Macaca mulatta: one gene and its partner. The protein of the gene in region 2 purifies or fractionates together with the protein of the main gene of each other region. This does not show direct contact. Links are inferred from orthologs where the notes say so. Each region holds a gene or a part of one and is shown on either strand. Other genes may lie near its edges.

Region 1 (9,119 bases), on a different chromosome or scaffold from region 2:
TCAGCGCGTAGGGCTTTCGACTACCAAAAAAATGGGCTTAGTTGCGAGCGAGGGGGAGGGAATGAAATATCGCGAGGCTTCTACTCTGTTGCTCTGAGAGATCAGGCCGCGGAACATCCCTTCATTCAATTCGTATGCCTGGCCAGGGCCCCACCTCCGCTGCTCTGCTGCTGATGCAATCATCCACCTATAAATTTTGGAAATAACAAAAAACTCTTTGCTATTCTCCCAAGGTCCTGCTTTACGGTGTAATTAGAAACCCATTTTAGTGACTAATTGGCAAACTGTCTCTTGGATTTCCTGTTTCTTTCATTTCTTTACCTTTCAGTTCTAACCTCTAACCCTCTGTCTGTTACCCGCTCCCCCTACGTAGACGTTGTACCGTAAAACTATACATATACTTAGGACACTCTAAAAATGTTCCATGTTCTGCTAAGGGATAATCATGGTACCCTTGGATGGGGTCAGGGGTGGGTCGGTTCTGGACTTGGCCTCTAAAAGTCTCAGGAAGGAAAAGACTGACCCCAGGAATACCCAAGTTTGTGTCAAGTCAGGTCTCATGAAAGGAAGATCTTCCTCAGCTTTGTCATACTGCATCTACTGGTCACTTCCTAGCCTTTTTTTTTTTTTTTTTTTTTGTAGCGTTCAGAGACCAAAACGACTTTCAAATGCAGCTAGATACGTGTTTTAAATACAGTCAACTGGTTTTGACATGTTAATGTGTTACCAGATTGTGTGTTTCAAAACTTGTTCTTATACCAGTGTTGCGGCTCCATTGGAAAACTTGGAGCACATTTAGATGGGCAGCTCTTACGGAAAACATTTCTGGCTTTAAAGTAATTTTTGCTTTTTTCTTTAAGCGTTTCCAGAGTTTATGAGAAGTTTAACCTCCAGTTTACATCTTAAGTGAGACAAGACTTATGAAGCACAAATATTGTATACTTTTTTGACATCTAATATTTGTCATATGTTTAGACTCATTAATATTTTGGGTGATTTGTTAATATCAGTGGAGGAAATGACACATAAATTGCCAAACTGTTAGAAACGTGTAATCTAAAAACATTTTGAACCAACAGTCCCAAAATATAAGTTAATCCAGTTGTATTTTTTGTAGTAATTTTATGAACTTAATTATCAGAACTATCAAAAGTAAACCGATATATGGTGATTGTCAGTTACGAATTTTGGTTTCATTTGGAGATTTTTTGGTTTCTTTAACATTCTTGTAGAATAATGTGAGTGTTTTTGTTTTTTTTTGGTTGGAGTTGGTTGGAGTTTCAGACATAAAAGTAATGTTGCTTATTCACAGTTCTTGAATAAATAAAAAGTTAGGGAAAGTGGGAATAAATAAAAAGCTGGGAAAAGGAAAAGTTTGGTCCTCATTTCTTTTAATAATCTGTAACACTCTTTAGTTTTGGGAAGTTCATATTTATAGCAATTTAGACTATGGAATAAACAGGGCATTGACTCATAAAGGGAAAGTTTCCCTGTCTTTCTCCAAAGTACTTTCTTTTTTGAAATTTAGAAAATAATTATTGGCTAATTTCTGTTAGTAAAGAGAATTAAAGTGGACTAAGGGCTTTTTCTTTCCATTTCATAGAAGTGAGCTTGTAGTAGACAAAACAAAGAGGAAAAAAAGAAGAGAACTGTCTGAGGAACAGAAACAAGAAATTAAAGATGCTTTTGAACTATTTGATACAGACAAAGATGAAGCAATAGATTATCATGAATTAAAGGTAATGGTATACTTTAAAATACTTGTTTCTGTGTTAAAATGATTTGCATTTTGACAGTTGCTTTACATTACATTTCTAAGTAATTATTTTAACTAAATTGGTTTTGGAACTATGAAGGCATTTTAAGCATTCATAGTTAGATTCTATAATAATACTGAATAGAACTCCTAACACAGTTTTTAGAAAATCTTTTTCACGTGATAAAACGAATAGCATTTTAAATGTAACAATACATTCCTAGGGAAGGTGCTTATTTTTCACTGACATAATTAAAGGATTTCAAACTGGAATTTAAACTATTACCATATTCTTTTCACTGTTTTTTTTGTTTTTGTTTTTGTTTCTTGGTGACTCATACTGTTTTCAGATTGTGGGATTGTTGTCTTTTAATCTTATAATTTGTATTTGTTAGTAACATAGTCTCAATCCACTTTCTGTGGTACAAACAACTTCAGTGCTGTTTGATGTTGACACATGCTTGTAGGTAAAAATGTCAACTTTAAGACCTAGAATGTCAAGGTGTAGAGAGGGATTTGTAAATTATTATTTGTCAGGGTATAAGGAGAGATTTGGGTTTAGGGTAGAATGGGACTTACTTTCAGCACAGTGGGAAAGATAGTATTTTGAGATTTTTAATAGCCTTAATGGATAGGTGAATGTAAGTGTTTATTTGATAGTTTTAATTTTTGTAATTTCTTAAGGGATTTTTAAGCATTAGAATTCCAAGTAGGGATACGAACTATGCAGTAACAGTATAGAATGTATAAAAACAATTAATAGGCCTGTAAGTCTAGCTTTCTCAATCTTGCAGTCCTCTTTAGCTCTCTTTTCCCACTGTTTTTTGTTTTTGTTTTTTGGTTTTGGTTACCCAGATTTGATCAATTCTTCCTTTATAGTGTCTCTTCCATTAGTAACCATTGACTGGTTTCAGACCTTATTTCATACCTGGAGCTTCCTAAATGGTTTGTCTACTTGTAGTTCACCTTGTATACTACTACCACTGAATTTAGATAGTTTAAAAAATCTTTCACCATTGCTTATAAATTGTTCGTTGCTCATAAGCCTTTACTATTAATAACTCCTCATTATATACTACTTAAAGTTCAGATTCCTTTGCTTTCTACTGAATGTTCTCTACACTTTTGCCACCAACTACTTTTTTCATTTGCTAACTGCTTTCTTCCTCCCAAACTCTTCTAATTCACGTGGAATTCACCTTCTAATCCAGGTGAGCAGTTTATCTCACCTGAACTCTTCTAATTCAGGTGAGGTAAACTGCTCTGTTCGTTGTCCTTCAAACCTATTGTTCATTTCAGTGTTTCTTTTAATACTAGTCATCCTTCCCAAATGCCCTACTGCTCCTCTTCATCTGTCCTTCAAGGAACAACTTGAATCTTTCCAAATAAGACTTATCTAGTCAGTAACATGTTTCCTTCCTTGTTACTAGTAACAAAGTCTCTTTTTTGTCTAAACTCAGGGTCCTTCGCCCTATTATTAACCTAATAACTAATCATGGAGATACTGATGATAATTCTTATTTTAATGTTTTATCTCTTCTATCATATAACTTTAATATTTATGCTATGCCTTTTTCTCATTTTGGTTGTTAATCCCGTGATAACAAATAGCAGTCAAATTATCTGTGCAGTAAGTTAGTGCATTTTATATAGTAAACACTTGTTGGTTACTTTGTCATATAAAAATGCAATTTATAAATGAAAAAACTTATACATAATTTCAGTAGTGAAGAACAATTACACTGTCACTGCTATTTTAAAGAGGTAAAACATGCAAAAAAGTTATATTTTACTAATGTGTTTTTATCTCTTAAGATGTAAAAACTTAATAATTAGAAATTCTTTTGTAAAGATTGCTTTATAATTTGCTTTTCCCTTTTAATCCAAAAGGTGGCAATGAGAGCCTTGGGGTTTGATGTAAAAAAAGCTGATGTACTGAAGATTCTTAAAGATTATGACAGAGAAGCCACAGGGAAAATCACCTTTGAAGATTTTAATGAAGTTGGTGTGTATTTTAATAGTCTTTGTAATCAGCAGCTGTTAGGAAATTGTCTGATTAATATGACTTTTTAAATTTTAAATTCTCTAGGTTATGGAATTTTCTTATAGAACACTGGTGTATAATGTGACTCTTACTCAGTTTTGTTTGGGTTATTTTACTTTTTTCATTTTCAAAGAAAAAATATGGCTTTGCTCTGAGATTTATAGTTTTGTCTTTTGTTTTGTTGTGAAGATTCTAGCCAAGGAACTACTGTGTAGCTTTTTATGGAAAGATGCTTTTCCAAGTTATTTGTATTTATATTATGTGATAAAACTTGAAGGGTGATCAAAAAATTATTTTTGCTCAGTAAAACAGAAAATTTGATATCCTGCTGTTTGGAAAATGTTTCCCAAGACCTTTCTGGTATGTGATTTTTGCTGGCTAAGTGGGAGAAGAGGGAACTGGTAGTAGTTGGTATCTTTGGCCGTAGATGAAATGCGTGACTTCAGGTTGACAAAGTTTATGAGAGGCTACATCCTCTGGATGACCTTGATCTTAGTGGATAAAGTCATCTGTTTAGAGGGTAGTAGTAAAGGAGGCAGTGGGCATACTGCAAGCAGGAGAAAACATCCTGGTACCACCAACTGAAGATAATATGTCATAGGCTTAATATGGCTAAATTTTTGTGTAGTTGATTTTAGTGAATTATTTATAGCATACATAGAGCAGGCTTTTTCAAAATAGAAGAGTCTGGAAGGCAAGGGCGTTACTATTGTCTAGGATATTACCTACAAAATATATAAATATTCAGGTTTATTTCTATTTTTTTCCCCCTAAACCAATGGGTCACGATATAAGCACATCATATAAGTATTTTAAGATATTTGGAAACAAATTCTGTTATATACACAAACCCCTTCTTTTAAATATTCATCAAGAAGCAATATGGGAAGCAAAAAGAAATGGCAATTAGTATACGCAGAGAAAATTTAGATTCATGTCATTAGTTTTTTGAATCCAAACGCTCAAGTCAAAAGCAGTTGAGATGGAAAATAAATGATAAACCTAAGAGAAAAAATACAGCACAGAAGATACTCAACTTACGAACTAATATATGACTGTTTAGAGAGGCAACTTGTCTGTTGGGGACATTTTCCTTTTTTCCTCTAATTTGTAGAATTTTTTATTTGAGGAGAAGGAGAGAGCCACCTTTTGTTCTCCCAGAATGGACACTCTCCTGAAGTTTATAATCGTAGTATTCCTAGTTTTACCTTAGATTGTTTATTTGTAGAAACAAGATGTTAGGATACAGTGGAAATGATACTATTAGGAAGGAGCTATAATCCAGGTATGTTTAGTACAGTATAGTGGTTTAGCACTTGGAACCAGATTCTGTTGGTTCATACCTTGGTTTTGCCACTTTATAGCTCTGGAACTTGGTCTTTTTAATACCCTGTGCCTCATTTTCAACTATAAGGTGGGGATCATTGTACTCTCTCATGAGATTCTTCTGAGGATTAAGTTAATAACATGTAAAGTACCTAGAAAAGGGCCTAGCATGTTGTAAGTGCTACTAAGCATTTGTTATTATTATTACTTTAAAAAATTGTCTCTGTTTCAGGGGCTCAAAATAATCATATATGCATCACTGGGACATAAAATAGACTCTGTGTATACTTTTTATTGACTTTTTTTCATAAAGGCTATTGTAAACACTATATCATCACTAATAATTTTACAAAATATTTTATTTCATCTTAAATGAATACAATTTTGAAATTGTGATTTTTTATTGGCAGTTGGGACCAGAATCCCATGCCACCTCCACTTTTTCCTGATGCCCTATCTGTTCTATGTTATTAACAGAGCAGAAATACTGGGTTCCTTTAGAATAAATAGATGTGGCTAAACTTCAGCTTTGACACTCAAAGATTAACCTTTTGACAGGGTCAACACCTATCTTAGCTATCTTAAGGCTACCTATGGAGAGTACCAGGTGTAAAATAAAAATTTATTACTGTTTGGGAATCAGTCAAGAACTATGTATTTCCCCTTTTGTTGATTATTTTTAACTAATCACTGACCACAGATTAATATGTTTTGTACTTTGGGACAAATGATTCTAAATCTTAACATTTGAGTCCTAGTTTTATGAACTACTCAAGGATACTGTTCCACAGATATATCTGGATGAAGTTTGGCAGTTAACTATTATAGATTCTTCCTAGTACTGGAAAAAAGCTTTAAAATATATTTAATGTAAGTTTAGAGTCAAGACAACCTGAGGCTAGTGAGTAACATAGATGTTTTAGGAATTCTGTCTTTAACACCAACATAAGTCAAACGTTTGTACACTATTTTTGACATATACTACTTATTGCTGATTCAGATTATAATAGTGTATTATTGTCTTCATTTTGCTTATTTAACACTGAATTTTTTGGTATTAGGTACTGTACTGGGGTTGGGAAGAAGACGTAATTAAAAGTTACTAAGAGGTTCTTCTTTCAGGGAGTTTACAGTGTACATATAGGTGACAACAGGCTATAGTACTATGTGGTAAATTGTAATTTTGTCTAGGACAGAAGTCAGCAATTATAGCCTTTGGACCAAATTCAGCTGCTGCTTGTACACCACCACACCCATTCTTTTATGCAGCTTTTGTGCTGCTATGGCAGAGTGAGTAGAGACTTTATGCCCCTCTACAAAGCCTAAAGTATTTACTGTCTGGCCTTTTACAGGAAAGATTTGTTAATCCCTGATATAGAGGAATTGAAGACTTTGCAGAGGAGATTTTAAATTTAGGCCTTTGGAAACGTGAGGAGGATTTCATTCCAAGATTGCCAGGAAGAGTAGAGAAAAAGCATTCTAGGCTTAGAAAGCAGCAACAACAAAGAATGGTACTAGAAGCATAGCATGTTTGGGAAACTAGATAGTGTTCTGGGCTAGACGATAGGGAAATAGCTGGAAGTGTAGGATTGGGCCAGACTGGTAAAGTCTTGCGAAACTTAAAAGATTTTGAATTTTAGTTAGCAGAGGATCATTCACAATTTTTAAGGGAAGAGGATATGATATATTTGAGAAAGAAAACTGATGAGAGTATTATTGATGATGCATTGGAAGGAAGAGAGACTGCAGACAGAAAATACTATTTTTTATGCTGAGGATGGCGAGCGTGAAAAGAAAATACATTTAAGAATAAAAAAGAGGCTAGGCTTGGTGGCTCATGCCTGTAATCCCAGCACTTTGGGAGGTCAGGGCGGGAGGATTGCTTGCTCACAGGAGTTTGAGACCAGCCGGGGCAACAAAGTGAGATCCTGTCTCTACAAAAAAAAAAAAAAAAAATTAGCCAGATGTGATGGCACATGCCTGTAGTCCCAGCTGCTTTGGAGGCTGAGGTGGAAAAATTGCTTGAGCCCAGGAGTTGAGGCTGCAGTAAGCTGGGATCATGCCATTGCACTCCAGCCTGGGCAACAGAGCGAGACCTTGTTTCAAAACAATAAAAATAAAAAAAATAGTATTCTCAGTACTATAGGACCTGATTAAGTTTATGGGACTGAAAATGATTTATACTTTTCACATACGGAATCTGGCTGTAAATGTTGCTGTTGTCTTTTGGTGGGGGTAGAGGAGGCAGCTACAGTTACTGTGGTGGTAGTGGAATGAGTTTGGAGTCCAACATGTCTCACTGGTGTGTTTGGATAGAAATTTCCAAAAGACATTGAGAAATACAGTTAAAGCTGTATTTCTAGCATTACCTACAATGATTTTTAATTTACTTTTGATGTGATGTTTTTGGATTTGCTGTATTCTTAAGTGATTTTTACACATGAAAGGTCTAAGAAAGTGTTTTGAAGAAGTACATTTCTGATAGTATGTGTAATTAAATCATTTGAAAATACAGTTACATGGACAGAAATTTGGAGTTTTGTGAAATAAATGAAACCCACCTTAACTGCCTCTATATCAGTTTACTAATATTTTCATTGAAAATAAATATATTTCTTGTAATTAAATTCTACTTTGTGGAACAAGAATAGAACATGAAGGCATGGAGGAGAATCATTATAAAGTTATATATTAGGTAATGTTTTTGCTGTCCAAAATGATGAGCATTTATAATTCCCAAGAAAAGCTGCATTTTAAGGAAGAATATTGATAAAAGAATATATAGACACATAGCTCTGAAATAACTAACACAATTAAAGTACCAGTGGGATAAGAATTTATACATCTTGGAGCCCCATCTGTTCCCCAATCACCCTGTTGCTTCTTTAAGTACATTAATACTTTCAGCAAGCTGCTTTTTTGGTTCACCTGTCATGTAAATTATTTAATTGGTGAAGAAAATTTCTTAACACTTTTTTTCCTTGTCCTGCTTTTTTGTTGGGACTAAATTCAAAATAAGTTGAGTATGTGCCATAGAGTTAAGTGTGGTATTTTATTTTGGTGTTATGGCTGTAGATATGCCAGCTCCTTTTTGACTGAATATTTATGAGCTTTGATGATTTGCATACTTACAGTAATATACTTCAATTAGTTACTTGGCAGCCTTTTTGGATAAAATTAATGGATAAAAGGAAACTATTGAAAATATGTGTAGATGATATAATAGTCATTTGAATAGGTGATTATTGAACCTAATATAGGTGAAACAGCTACAAAACAATAACTTGTTGGAGATTTTGATTGTATTTTTTTCATTCTGGGTTCTTTAAACATTCCAGTATTTTCCATCTATAAGCAGTTTTTTGTTTTTTTTTTTTTAATGATTCTGTAACCTTTAACAGGACCGAGTTATTTTTAATAGCATAGTAAAGGCCATAAATACCTTTTCTTGTAGTGGCAGGTAGTGTATATAATTACTTCAGAGATATTTATTTAGATATTGTTAGAATTTTATTTAGTAACTTAACAATTTTTATGCCACAGATTTTTATTTTAATTTTTATTGTGGCTATTGATTGAAGACTGGTAAAATTGAAAATACTTAAGCTTATTACTATGTTGTTATATATGATTATATTTAGTGTATTAAAATACACAATTACCATTGAGGTTTGAAACTACATTTATTTTTAGTTAGTTGTCTGAGAGTGATTTATCCAAACAAAACGGGTAAGCTTTAAGGAGACCTTCTTTCCAGAGGTTTTTTTTTGGGTGGGCTTTCCTGCTATAGTCAGATTTGATCCTATTTACTACTTTCTAAATTTTGGAAAACCAAGCTGTTCTTCTAATCACGAAGGTATTAGTGGAATTTTCATCTGCTCTCTTGAGATTGTGCCTGTGTCTGCGATGGCAGTACTTTTTGTCTTTTGCAGTTTTTCTTGTTTTGAAGTTGGATTAAATTTGAGGAAGAATCAGTGTTAGTATGACATTTAG
Region 2 (9,893 bases):
TGGTAACAATAACTGGCAGACATATCACACTCCCTAGAAGCACTACAGGAAATCAGAGGAGAGAAGGGGGAGGAATCAGTGAAGCCTCTAGAGTAGGTGGTTTCGGATCTGCATCTTCAAGATGGAAGCCAGCAAGCACTCCAGGTAGAGGGAATACCATGAGCACAATGCAGGTGCGGAAAGTACGAGAATGTGTTCAGTGAATGATGAGAAGTCCAGGTGGGCCAGAGAAGAGCATGCTTGAGGAAAGTAGTATGAGATAAAGCTGGAATGGCAGGTAAATATTTTGTGATATATCTAATATTTTTGTGTAGTAGAAAGAACACTGGACCAGGAGTCAGAAGACCTGGGTTCTCCTGCTTTTGCCACTGTCTGGCTGTGGAAGCATGAACAAATCACTTTCTGCACACTGTCACCATTCTTATCTGTAAAGTTTCCAGTTCTTACAGGTCTGAGTTGTACCTAGAAGAGCTTAAAGATCCAATCTTCCATGGACCCCAGTGACAAGTAAGAATAGAGGTTTTCATTACTCACAATTCTCTGATGAGAAAAATCAAGACCCGAGACAAAGCTTTGCAGGCATCTCACCTGAAGTCATCCCCATCGCTGAGGGCTTCATCCTTTATAACCTTGAGGTTTTCAGATTTAACAGTCACCTTGGCCACTTTCTTTTTTGCTGGACCACCTGCTGAACCCCCAGGATCACTGCAGCCTCTCTTCCTCTTTCCTTGTGAAACTCTGGAGACAAGGCTCTTCTTTGGGGGTTTCTCATCTTCAAAGGCATCTAGGTGACCATACAGAACATGAGGTGAGGGGTGGAAGGAAAGGTGGAGGCAGAGCAGCTTATGGGCAAGGGCATGAAAAGGCTCTATGATCTGTCTCCAAACCCGATCTCCATCACCTGTTCACCATCCCGTCTGGTCAGCAACCAGCTCTCAGCCTCTACCCACCTGCGGCTAGTCTATGTTTATAGTAAAAACCATTCTCCTTTATCAGCACTTTACTTCTCCTATGACTACAGAAAATACCACAGGAGTCAAATAAAACCTAACTTCCAGATCTTAAATGTCAGCCAGGAAAATACAACATCCTGGAAAGGAAAATACAACACAATTCCTGCCAAGAAAATACAACATCCATTAATTAGCACCCTATTTATTTATCATCTGCCAAGACTAATTGTTTGTCTTAGGGATAATGCACTCCTCTTAAGTAAAATGTTAAGTACATAAACATTTCCAAGTTTTACCACAACATCATTACTATTAATCTACATTTCTGCCAACCTTCAAGACCAAACTGCTCAAAACACATACTGCTCTGAAACCTTTCCAATGTAACCCAAATGGCTATCGTATACTAACCACCTCAGCAAACTTACAGTTGAAAAAAGACAGCAATAATTCAAAAGTATTTTCTTAAAATAATTATTTTTTGTTAAAGGGAAATAAAAAATGCATAAGCTGCTGGTTTTAGTCAAATTGGGGTATCTAAAATTATGGTTTATTTACATATAATAATTATATTAATAGATTAGTTTTAATAAATAACAATATGGCAGGGAAGGATAGTTTTCTATTTTGCAAATATATTCACACAAATGATCTTGAATCCGAAATAAATCCTCTTTTGTCTTTGCATGACTCTGCTTCAATTAATTTTAGAAAATAAAAATACTTTTTATTGAGGTTCCATAAGGGATTGCAACGTTAACCTAAAATATAAAATTATTTAATAATTCAGTCTTTTCATTGTTTGCCTTGCTGACTCTCTGGATAGGTATTTATATTCCACAAGAATATAAATTTTTGCATGAGGGAAAAAAGACTCTCCCTCTGATCTAGATGAAATCATTATTAAATGTTAATAAAATTCATATCAAAGGAGCATTTCTTTTAATGCTAGATAAATCACTGATTCCGTTGTTTCTTTAAATGTTTTATGAAAAAGGAATTTATGTATTCCCATTTTTAAACATTTTAGTGGAAACCAAAAAATAAGGAAAAATTTTGAAGTGCAAAGTATTTCAAAATTAATTTTTTCAAATCTGAGAACAAACTGCCGATTCCAAGGCCAGAGGCTGCATAAAGCTTAAGATTTGACAGTTTGAGGAGGGTGCCCTAAAATTAAGATTTCTGGATCTTACAATGGTATTTAGCCCTCTAATAGGCAAAGATGCAAAATACTTCACTTTCTACTAATCTAAAAAAAATGCAGGTAGGAGGATACTTCAGAGGCATCACAAACTTTTCTGGTTGGTTAAAAAGCATAGCTTTTATTTCTGTGTTTGAAGAGAAAGGTAGAGGAGTTAAAAAGGAAAGGGGGGAAAAAGGAAACACAAAACTCTGAATCAAAAGGATGTTCATAGTATTCAAAAGCATCTAACAATAATCTGAACATACAACCACGAGATAATTGTTAAGTAACTTAGGGCAGAGCCACACAACAAAATATAATTGAGTCATCCTTTAAGATAAAGAAAAACGATAGATGATGTAATGTTAATCATGCAAAGTTGATTTTACAGCATGCTTTCTGCTATGTAAAAAACAGACTAGAAGGAAACAGACCATTATTTCATGGTGGCTATTTCTGGATGGCAGAAATATGGGTGACTTTCTATTCTTTGCTATTCTTTGGTCCCTAAGCACCTAGAGACTCTTTTCCAGGACTCTCCAAAATCTTGAGTGATCTAATATGCCTAACCAGCCTCCTCGAGCTCAGCGTTCTTTCAGTAGGGCAGGAATTACCACTGTGGTCTGCTTGCCCATCTACTGGGATGTAATAAGAACACCAGAGTAAACCTTCTAGCAGCAACTCACAGCACTCAGAATAAAATTCCAACTCCTTAGCTTGGTATCCAAGCTCAGGCCCCTGCCCACTTCTCCTACCCAGCCCCTCACTCACTGTGTCCAGCCAACTGGCCAAGTTCATTCCCTCCTAAGAGTGTTTAAACACTGTCCTCTCTGCCTAGAACTCTTTTCCCCAGAACTTCCTATGAATGGCTCAAAATTACACTAACTGCCTCAAAATGCCATCTCCTTACAAAGGCCTTCCCTGACACTGATTCCCATTTAGCTGCCCCTTCCCAGCCCCATTTAAATTTGAGGGTTTTTTTTTCCCCCATCTATAGAAGCATTTTCTGCTATGTACCCAAGTAAGTTTTATCACAGCAGTCTTAACACAGGGTGATAGCTCTTACCATTATGTGAATCTGTTTTTTTTTTAACTTGTTATCTGTTCTACTTACCCCTCCCCACAGATTATAATCATGAGAGCAGGTGCCTCACCTGTCTTGTTCACCACTATTATCCTAGTACCTGGAACAGTGCCTGAAAATAGTAGGCGCTCAATAAACAGCTGTTGAAGGAGTTAACGGATTATCACCGAAGGTGTTAACATAGAGAAGAAATGCAAAGAAACCAGAGGTGCTTTAGTAACACAAAGGAAATCATGTGGAAGCCTGTTTTCTTTTTTCCTATTTGTCGAAAGCAGCCAAGTATCACCTTCATTTGCATGTACAGGGGTGCTGTTAAAACCTACACTATTACAGTGTTAGAAACTACACTGACAGTCACCAAATTATTGTCACCTGCAGCCCAAACCACACTTGCTAAGTCTATGCTTCCCCAACAAACCACCAAACCACAACAAAAGTTGTAACTCTGCAGATTGGAAGCTGCCTTGGGAACTGACTGCTACCTCCTCTGGCTAGCAGAGTAAACTTGGGTGCATCCTTACCTCCATTTAGGCTGAATGACACCAGCTAGCCCAACTAATTACCTAACATGGGTAAAGCTAAAGCTCTTGGCTTTATATGCTATCCCACTGAAAACTTACAGCCACCCTGCAAGGCAGTTATTATAGTTCATAGAAGAAGTTTAGAAGGGCTAAAATACTTGTCCAAAATAATTCACCCAAGTGCATATAACTAAGAATTGAAGCTCTACCAAGCTGGAACCCAGGTGAAGTGTTGAGCTGGGAGGAATGCAGGTAGCATTTCCATCAGATTACAACAATTTTTAATTGCCATATATGCAAATTACATTCTGACTAGAATACCAGCCCCTTTTTTGTGACCCCTTGCTAAAATAGCAACCATCCTTTAAATCACAGATCAAACAACTTCAGAAAGCGTTCCCCGATCATGCTAGTCAAACTTGATTAATCCTTTGGAAGCTACAAAGCCTTGTACCTTCTTCCACAGTATTTAGCACACTCTGCCTTGCATGTCTTACATGCAAATGTCATGTCAACACTACTCTATGATCCTCCAAGATACGCTTATCTCCCATGTCACCTCATTCATGTGCAGCACATAGTACTCAAAATATGTTTTTTGAATGAACGAGTAAATGAATAAAATGGAACCCGAAATACTACATATGAGGTAAATCACCTTCTAAGTTTAGGAATTATTACCATTTGACTATTTTCTAATGGATGATGAACTTATAATCGGTATAGAAACACAGAATCGAGTGTGATAGCCTTTGCTGGTTACCTAATCTACCCAGTTATTTCAGGAGACCCAGAAATTCCTTCTACAGCCTGCATTTTGCAATTATTTAAAATATTTATTGGCCAGGCACAGTGGCTCATGCCTATAATCCCAGCACTTTGGCAGGCCGAGGCGAATGGATCACCTGAGGTCAGGAGTTAGAGACCAGACTGGCCAACATGGCGAAACCCCATCTCTCCTAAAATACAAAAATTAGCCGGGCATGGTGGCAGTCACCTGTAATACCAGCTACTCAGGAGGCTGAGGCAGGAGAATCGCTTGAACCTGGGAGGCAGAGGTCATGCCATTGCACTCCAGCCTCAGCGACAGAGTGAGACTCCATCTCGAAAAAAATAAAAAATAAAAAATATTTATTTAGCACTTAGCCCTACCAATCGACGGGCCCCGCATCCACAGATTCAACCAACCACAGATGAATATATTTCGGGAAAAATAAAACCCACAAATTTTAAAACTATAGTATGACAACTATTTCCATAGCATCTACATTGTATTAGATATTACAAGTGATCTAGAGATGATTTAAAGTATGTCGGAGTATGCGCATAGGTTACATGGAAACACTAGGCCATTTGATACAAGGTACTTGAGCATCACAGGTTTTAGTATCCACGGGGTATCTGGGAAGGACTACCTTAGTTTGCTCAAGGAATGTCTGACTTGAGATTTGAAGAAATCATACCTGGCAAAAGCCATGGTGGGGGGTCACTCTAGGCCGAAGGAATATCAAAGGAAAAGGCTCAAGAAATAACTTGGCATATTTGAGGAAGAGAAAGGAGGCCAATGAGGAGGGTATCTGGCAAGGAAACAAGTGGTAGGAGAAACAGGAGAGGTAGCAAGAGCCAAAACACGTAGCATCTTGCAGGCCAGGATAAGACAACTGGATTTTAAACTAAGAGCAATGGAAAACCAAGGAGAGTTTAAAGCAGGAGCATGGCATGATTTTTTTTTTTTTTTTTAAAGATTATTTGCGTTGCTGGATGCAGAGCTGGGAGGCCAGTCAAGAGGAAACTGCAGTCACTCAACTGAAAGGTGATGGTGACTTGGACAGGGGTTGTGGCCATGGAAATGAAGAGAAGTGGACAAATTTGAAATACAGTCTGAGGCTGAACTGACTGGACTTGCTGACGGGACTGGATGTGTGCACATAAGAAAAAGGTGGACTTTGTTTTATAACAAGTATTGGGACTGGAAAAACGGAGGAAAGCATAGATTTGAAGGGGAAGACCATGAGCTCTGCACTGTCCACGACAAATGTAAGAAGCCTATCCAATATCCACGAGGGGAAGTCAGGTGGGATCCCACTGTGGAACTCTGGGCGAGACTCAGCTGAAGTTATCATTCGGGAGTCAGCACACTGCATCACTCTACGTCCTGGTCCGTCCGTCCGTTTTCCTGGGACACAAATAACTGCCTTCTCCGCGTTCAACCCTGAACATCTGCGCTGTATCCTCTGGACAACGGGGAGCGGGAAAGAAGCTACGCAGGAGCTTGGGTCGGGCGAGGCTCACGGGAAGCCGCTCTGGGTGCAGAGGACAAAGGCGCAGGGACAGCGGGGAGGGCCGGCCGCGGCCTGCCGTGCTGCCCCCACTGCGCGGAACGCGCGCAGCAACCTCCTCCCGGCCTCCGCGTCTGGACTCCCGCCGCCCCTGCCTCTGGGCCTCCTCCGCCCACCGGCAGAGTCTCCCGCGAAGCCCGCTGGGCCACGCTCTCACCCTCCTCCTCCTCACGCCGGGTCTTGCTCTTGGCCTTGGACTTCTGGCTGCGCGTTTCGCGTCCCCGCGGCTCCCCGCCGGCCGCGCGCTTCCGAGCCATATTGCTTGTCGGGGAAAAATCCACTTCGCGAGTGACGCACCAGGCCGCGATGCGTTAGAACGCAGGCCCCGCCCCGAGGCGGGCGCGTCTGGCCACGCCCCTTCGTTGGAGGCCTAGTCACGCCCCCAAAGGAAGCTCCGCCCCATACCCGTGGCCACTAAAAAACCGCGGGAAGCAGGCAAGAGCACAGCAGGTTTCTATTTCCGGTGTATTGTAGCATCACGTTTCCGGAGCTCGGCGTTGCTCTTGTGTTCTCGCGAGAGGCGGGAAAGGGCGCAGGGTTTGAAACATGGCGGACGACGTAGACCAGGTGAGTGAATTTTAAGGCGGTGGCTCGGCGCCGCTTCTTGTACTAAACTGCTTTTTCCAAACGCAGGAAAAATGGCCAGTCGCGCCTCTTCTTTCCAAGTCACACGGCCTAATCCGCCCCATCCTTTCCGTAAACACCCCTGTCCGAATTTTGCTGCAGGCCCTGAGGTCTTTTCCGTTAGAAGGCCACCTGATGACTATTCATCACACTCTTCGCTTTGTTTTTTTAAATCTGTAAATTATTATGCGTGCCTACCTCACGGAGCTGTCAGGATTCCAATAGAAAGCCAGATAATAAAGTTAGGAGTTGTTATTACTGAGCACAACAATTATTTACTCATTCAGCAGAGAGAGTGAACATCAGCTTTGTATGGTTAGACACTGTTCTAAGAGCCAGGGACACTGACATCGATATATAAGTGATCCTTGCCATGACTTGGAGCTTATATTCGCGAGGAGAACAGATAAATATAAATATGTAAGATTTATAGGAACTGTGATGTGCTATGAAGGAAACAAGGAACTGGTATGCAGAATAACAGATGGTCCTAGAAGCTTTTTCACCTGGTCTTTTTCTTCCTCAAATATCTTTGGAGATCATGCTACAACTTAAACTTTCTACTGAAATCTCACCTCCTCAGAGAGGACTTCTGCCCAAATAGCACTCCCCCTACTCTGCTTACCCTGCCTCATTTTTCTTCATAGAACGTTATTTTTTCATATTAAATGTATGCATCTTTGTTTAATGTGTATCTCTCCTGACTAGAATGTAAGTGCCATAACAGTAGGCATTTTGTTTTGTTCATTCTTTTGTCCTTGGGGTTTAGAACAGTGCTGGAAATACTCAACAAATATTTGAGTGAATGAGTTAGATGATCAGAGGAGGCCTCTTTTAAAAGCCAATGTATAAAGCTACAGGATGAAAAAGAACAGAAAGTGGGCATCCCAGACAGAGGCTTAGGTAGCAGTAGAGCTCTGTCATGTGCATATTCTTACAGTATTATAATTATTCATATGCCTATCCACATTAGAATGAGCTCCTTGAGGGTGGAGATTGTGACTTCTGTATCATTGTAATCTAACAGTTGGTTATCTGATCCTTTAACAAACACCTGTTGAACTGAGGGACATAGGGACCAGTTGAGTTAGGTTATTTTTTTTTCTCTCATCGGGCCTTTTGAATCTTTAGCGCCTGTTACGAATTCAGTTACCTTCCTCCACTGGCCTTGTGTACTTACTAAAGAAGCTCTCCTTGAATCATCTAACTCTTTAATGGCTGCAACCCTCCCTTCCATGTGGGTGACCCCAAGTCATCCTAGCCCTGACCTCTAAAACCAGTGTTTCCAGCAGTTCTTTAATAATATAATATTAGTAGGAATCTTTTCTTTTCTTTTTTTTTTTTTGGATGGAGTCTCACTCTATCGCCCAGGCTGGAGTGCAGTGGCGTGATCTCAGTTCACTGCAACCTCTGCCTCCTGGTTCAAGCGATTCTCCTGTCTCAGCCTCCCAAGTAGCTGGGACTACAGGCACGTGCCAGCACGCCTGGCTAATTTTTGTATTTTTAGTAGAGACGGGGTTCACCATGTTGGCCAGGCTGGTCTCAAACTCCTAACCTCAGGTGATCTGCCTTTCTCAGCCTCCCAAAGTGCTGGAATTCAGGCCTGAGCCACCACGCCCAGCCAAAAGGAACCGTTTCTAAGTATTAATATTTTCTGCTTTCCTGGCACTGTTTTAAATGCATTAACTAGTTTCATCCTCATAAGAATCCAGAAGGAAGGTTGTGGCTTTCTCAATTACAAATGAAGAATCTGAGAATTACAGATGGCATGATTTTTAATCTCAGTTCATAAGTGTCAGGTCACAGCCAGGAGTTGAACCCAGACTGCCTGACTCCAAAGTCAGTGCTTGCTTGCTTGTTGGCACCATCTTGGCTCACTGCAACCTCCACCTCCCAGGCTCAGGCAATCCTCCCACCTCAGCCTCGGAGTAGCTGGGACTACAGGCACATGCCACCATGCCCGGCTAAGCCAGTGCTTTGAACCAGTGTTCTATTCTGGCTACTAAATATTCATCTTACTGGCCAGTTGGCAGCCTAACCTCAACCTGTGCTGAATTCATAATCTTCCCATAAACCTACACCTCTACTTGGCATTCTGACTAGTATATGGTAGGCATTAAGTGAGTGTTTTTCCTATGATTACATAATATTTGAGATAAAGCTAAAGTTCCTAAGACCCTATACCCTGAAATCGGGTCAGGCAGTTTGGATTTTGAGGGAACAAAGTATAGTCATGATTATTTTGCTGTGTAACTCCTTCTTATGTATGCGTGTTTTAATCTACATTTATATAGCACATACTATGTGAAAAGTTCTGTTCTAAGCCTTCATATATGTCACTTAAGCCTCATAAAAACAGTATTAGGTAGACACTATTATCTCCATTTTACAGATTAGGAGACTGAGGCAGAAAAAGGTTAAATAACTTGCACATGGTCATACAGCATAGCAGTGATTTAAGCACTACTTTATCTCTAGTACTATATTACTAAACCTGTTTCTGTTATCAGCAACAAACTACCAACACTGTAGAGGAGCCCCTGGATCTTATCAGGCTCAGCCTAGATGAGCGAATTTATGTGAAGATGAGAAATGACCGAGAGCTTCGAGGCAGATTACATGTGAGTAAATTTATCAAGTTACCTTGAAATCAGATTCCTTCCCACCCCCACTCCCTTGAAATGTAAAACCTGTCCAGAGTGAAAAGGTATTTTGAAGGAAGAGAGGGTAGTGGAAAATCACCCATGTTTCCATAAGCCAGATGAAGCTGCATGTATTCACATTTTTAATATTTTTTCTTTTAATAGAAATATGTTTATTATAGAACATTTTTATTCCCTTCATTTTCCCTTCTGTTTATTTGTAAATAACATTTATTTGTCCTCCATTCTTAAATGTTTTTTAAACTTAAAACACAAATATGTGTTTTATTATGAAAAGTTAAACAGCACAAAAATATATAGAGTAAAAAGTGAAATCCCATTTCCTCTACTGGTAACCACTATTAAAAATTGGATTATCTTGGCCGGGTGCAGTGGCTCATCCCTGTAATCTCAGCACTTTGGGAGGCTGGGGCAGGAGGATCACTTGAGGCCAGGAGTTCTCTGTGTTGCCCGCCTAGGCAACATAGAGAGATCCTGTCTCTACAAAAAATAAAAATTAAAAAATTAAAAATTGGGTTACTGTTTC

What was found.
Region 1: the proteins of XPC (region 2) and CETN3 purify together in Homo sapiens (affinity purification with mass spectrometry; 4 studies listed by BioGRID and IntAct, counting the BioPlex papers as one, with this or other methods). This does not show direct contact. The link is inferred for Macaca mulatta from reciprocal best matches to the Homo sapiens genes XPC and CETN3.

What each region holds. Positions count from the first base shown.
Region 1 is NC_133411.1:96,785,558-96,794,676, reverse strand, and holds part of CETN3 (centrin-3), read left to right. Parts: intron 1-1,603; coding exon 1,604-1,739; intron 1,740-3,646; coding exon 3,647-3,761; intron 3,762-9,119. UniProt on the Homo sapiens protein: Plays a fundamental role in microtubule-organizing center structure and function. As a component of the TREX-2 complex, involved in the export of mRNAs to the cytoplasm through the nuclear pores.
Region 2 is NC_133407.1:152,975,282-152,985,174, forward strand, and holds the start of XPC (DNA repair protein complementing XP-C cells), read right to left. Parts: upstream 6,371-9,893; 5' UTR 6,338-6,370; coding exon 6,238-6,337; intron 4,403-6,237; coding exon of another isoform or gene 4,400-4,402; intron 2,163-4,399; coding exon of another isoform or gene 2,160-2,162; intron 785-2,159; coding exon 589-784; intron 1-588. Other genes in the region: U6 snRNA-associated Sm-like protein LSm3, read left to right, coding at 6,627-6,647, 9,215-9,325. UniProt on the Homo sapiens protein: Involved in global genome nucleotide excision repair (GG-NER) by acting as damage sensing and DNA-binding factor component of the XPC complex. Has only a low DNA repair activity by itself which is stimulated by RAD23B and RAD23A.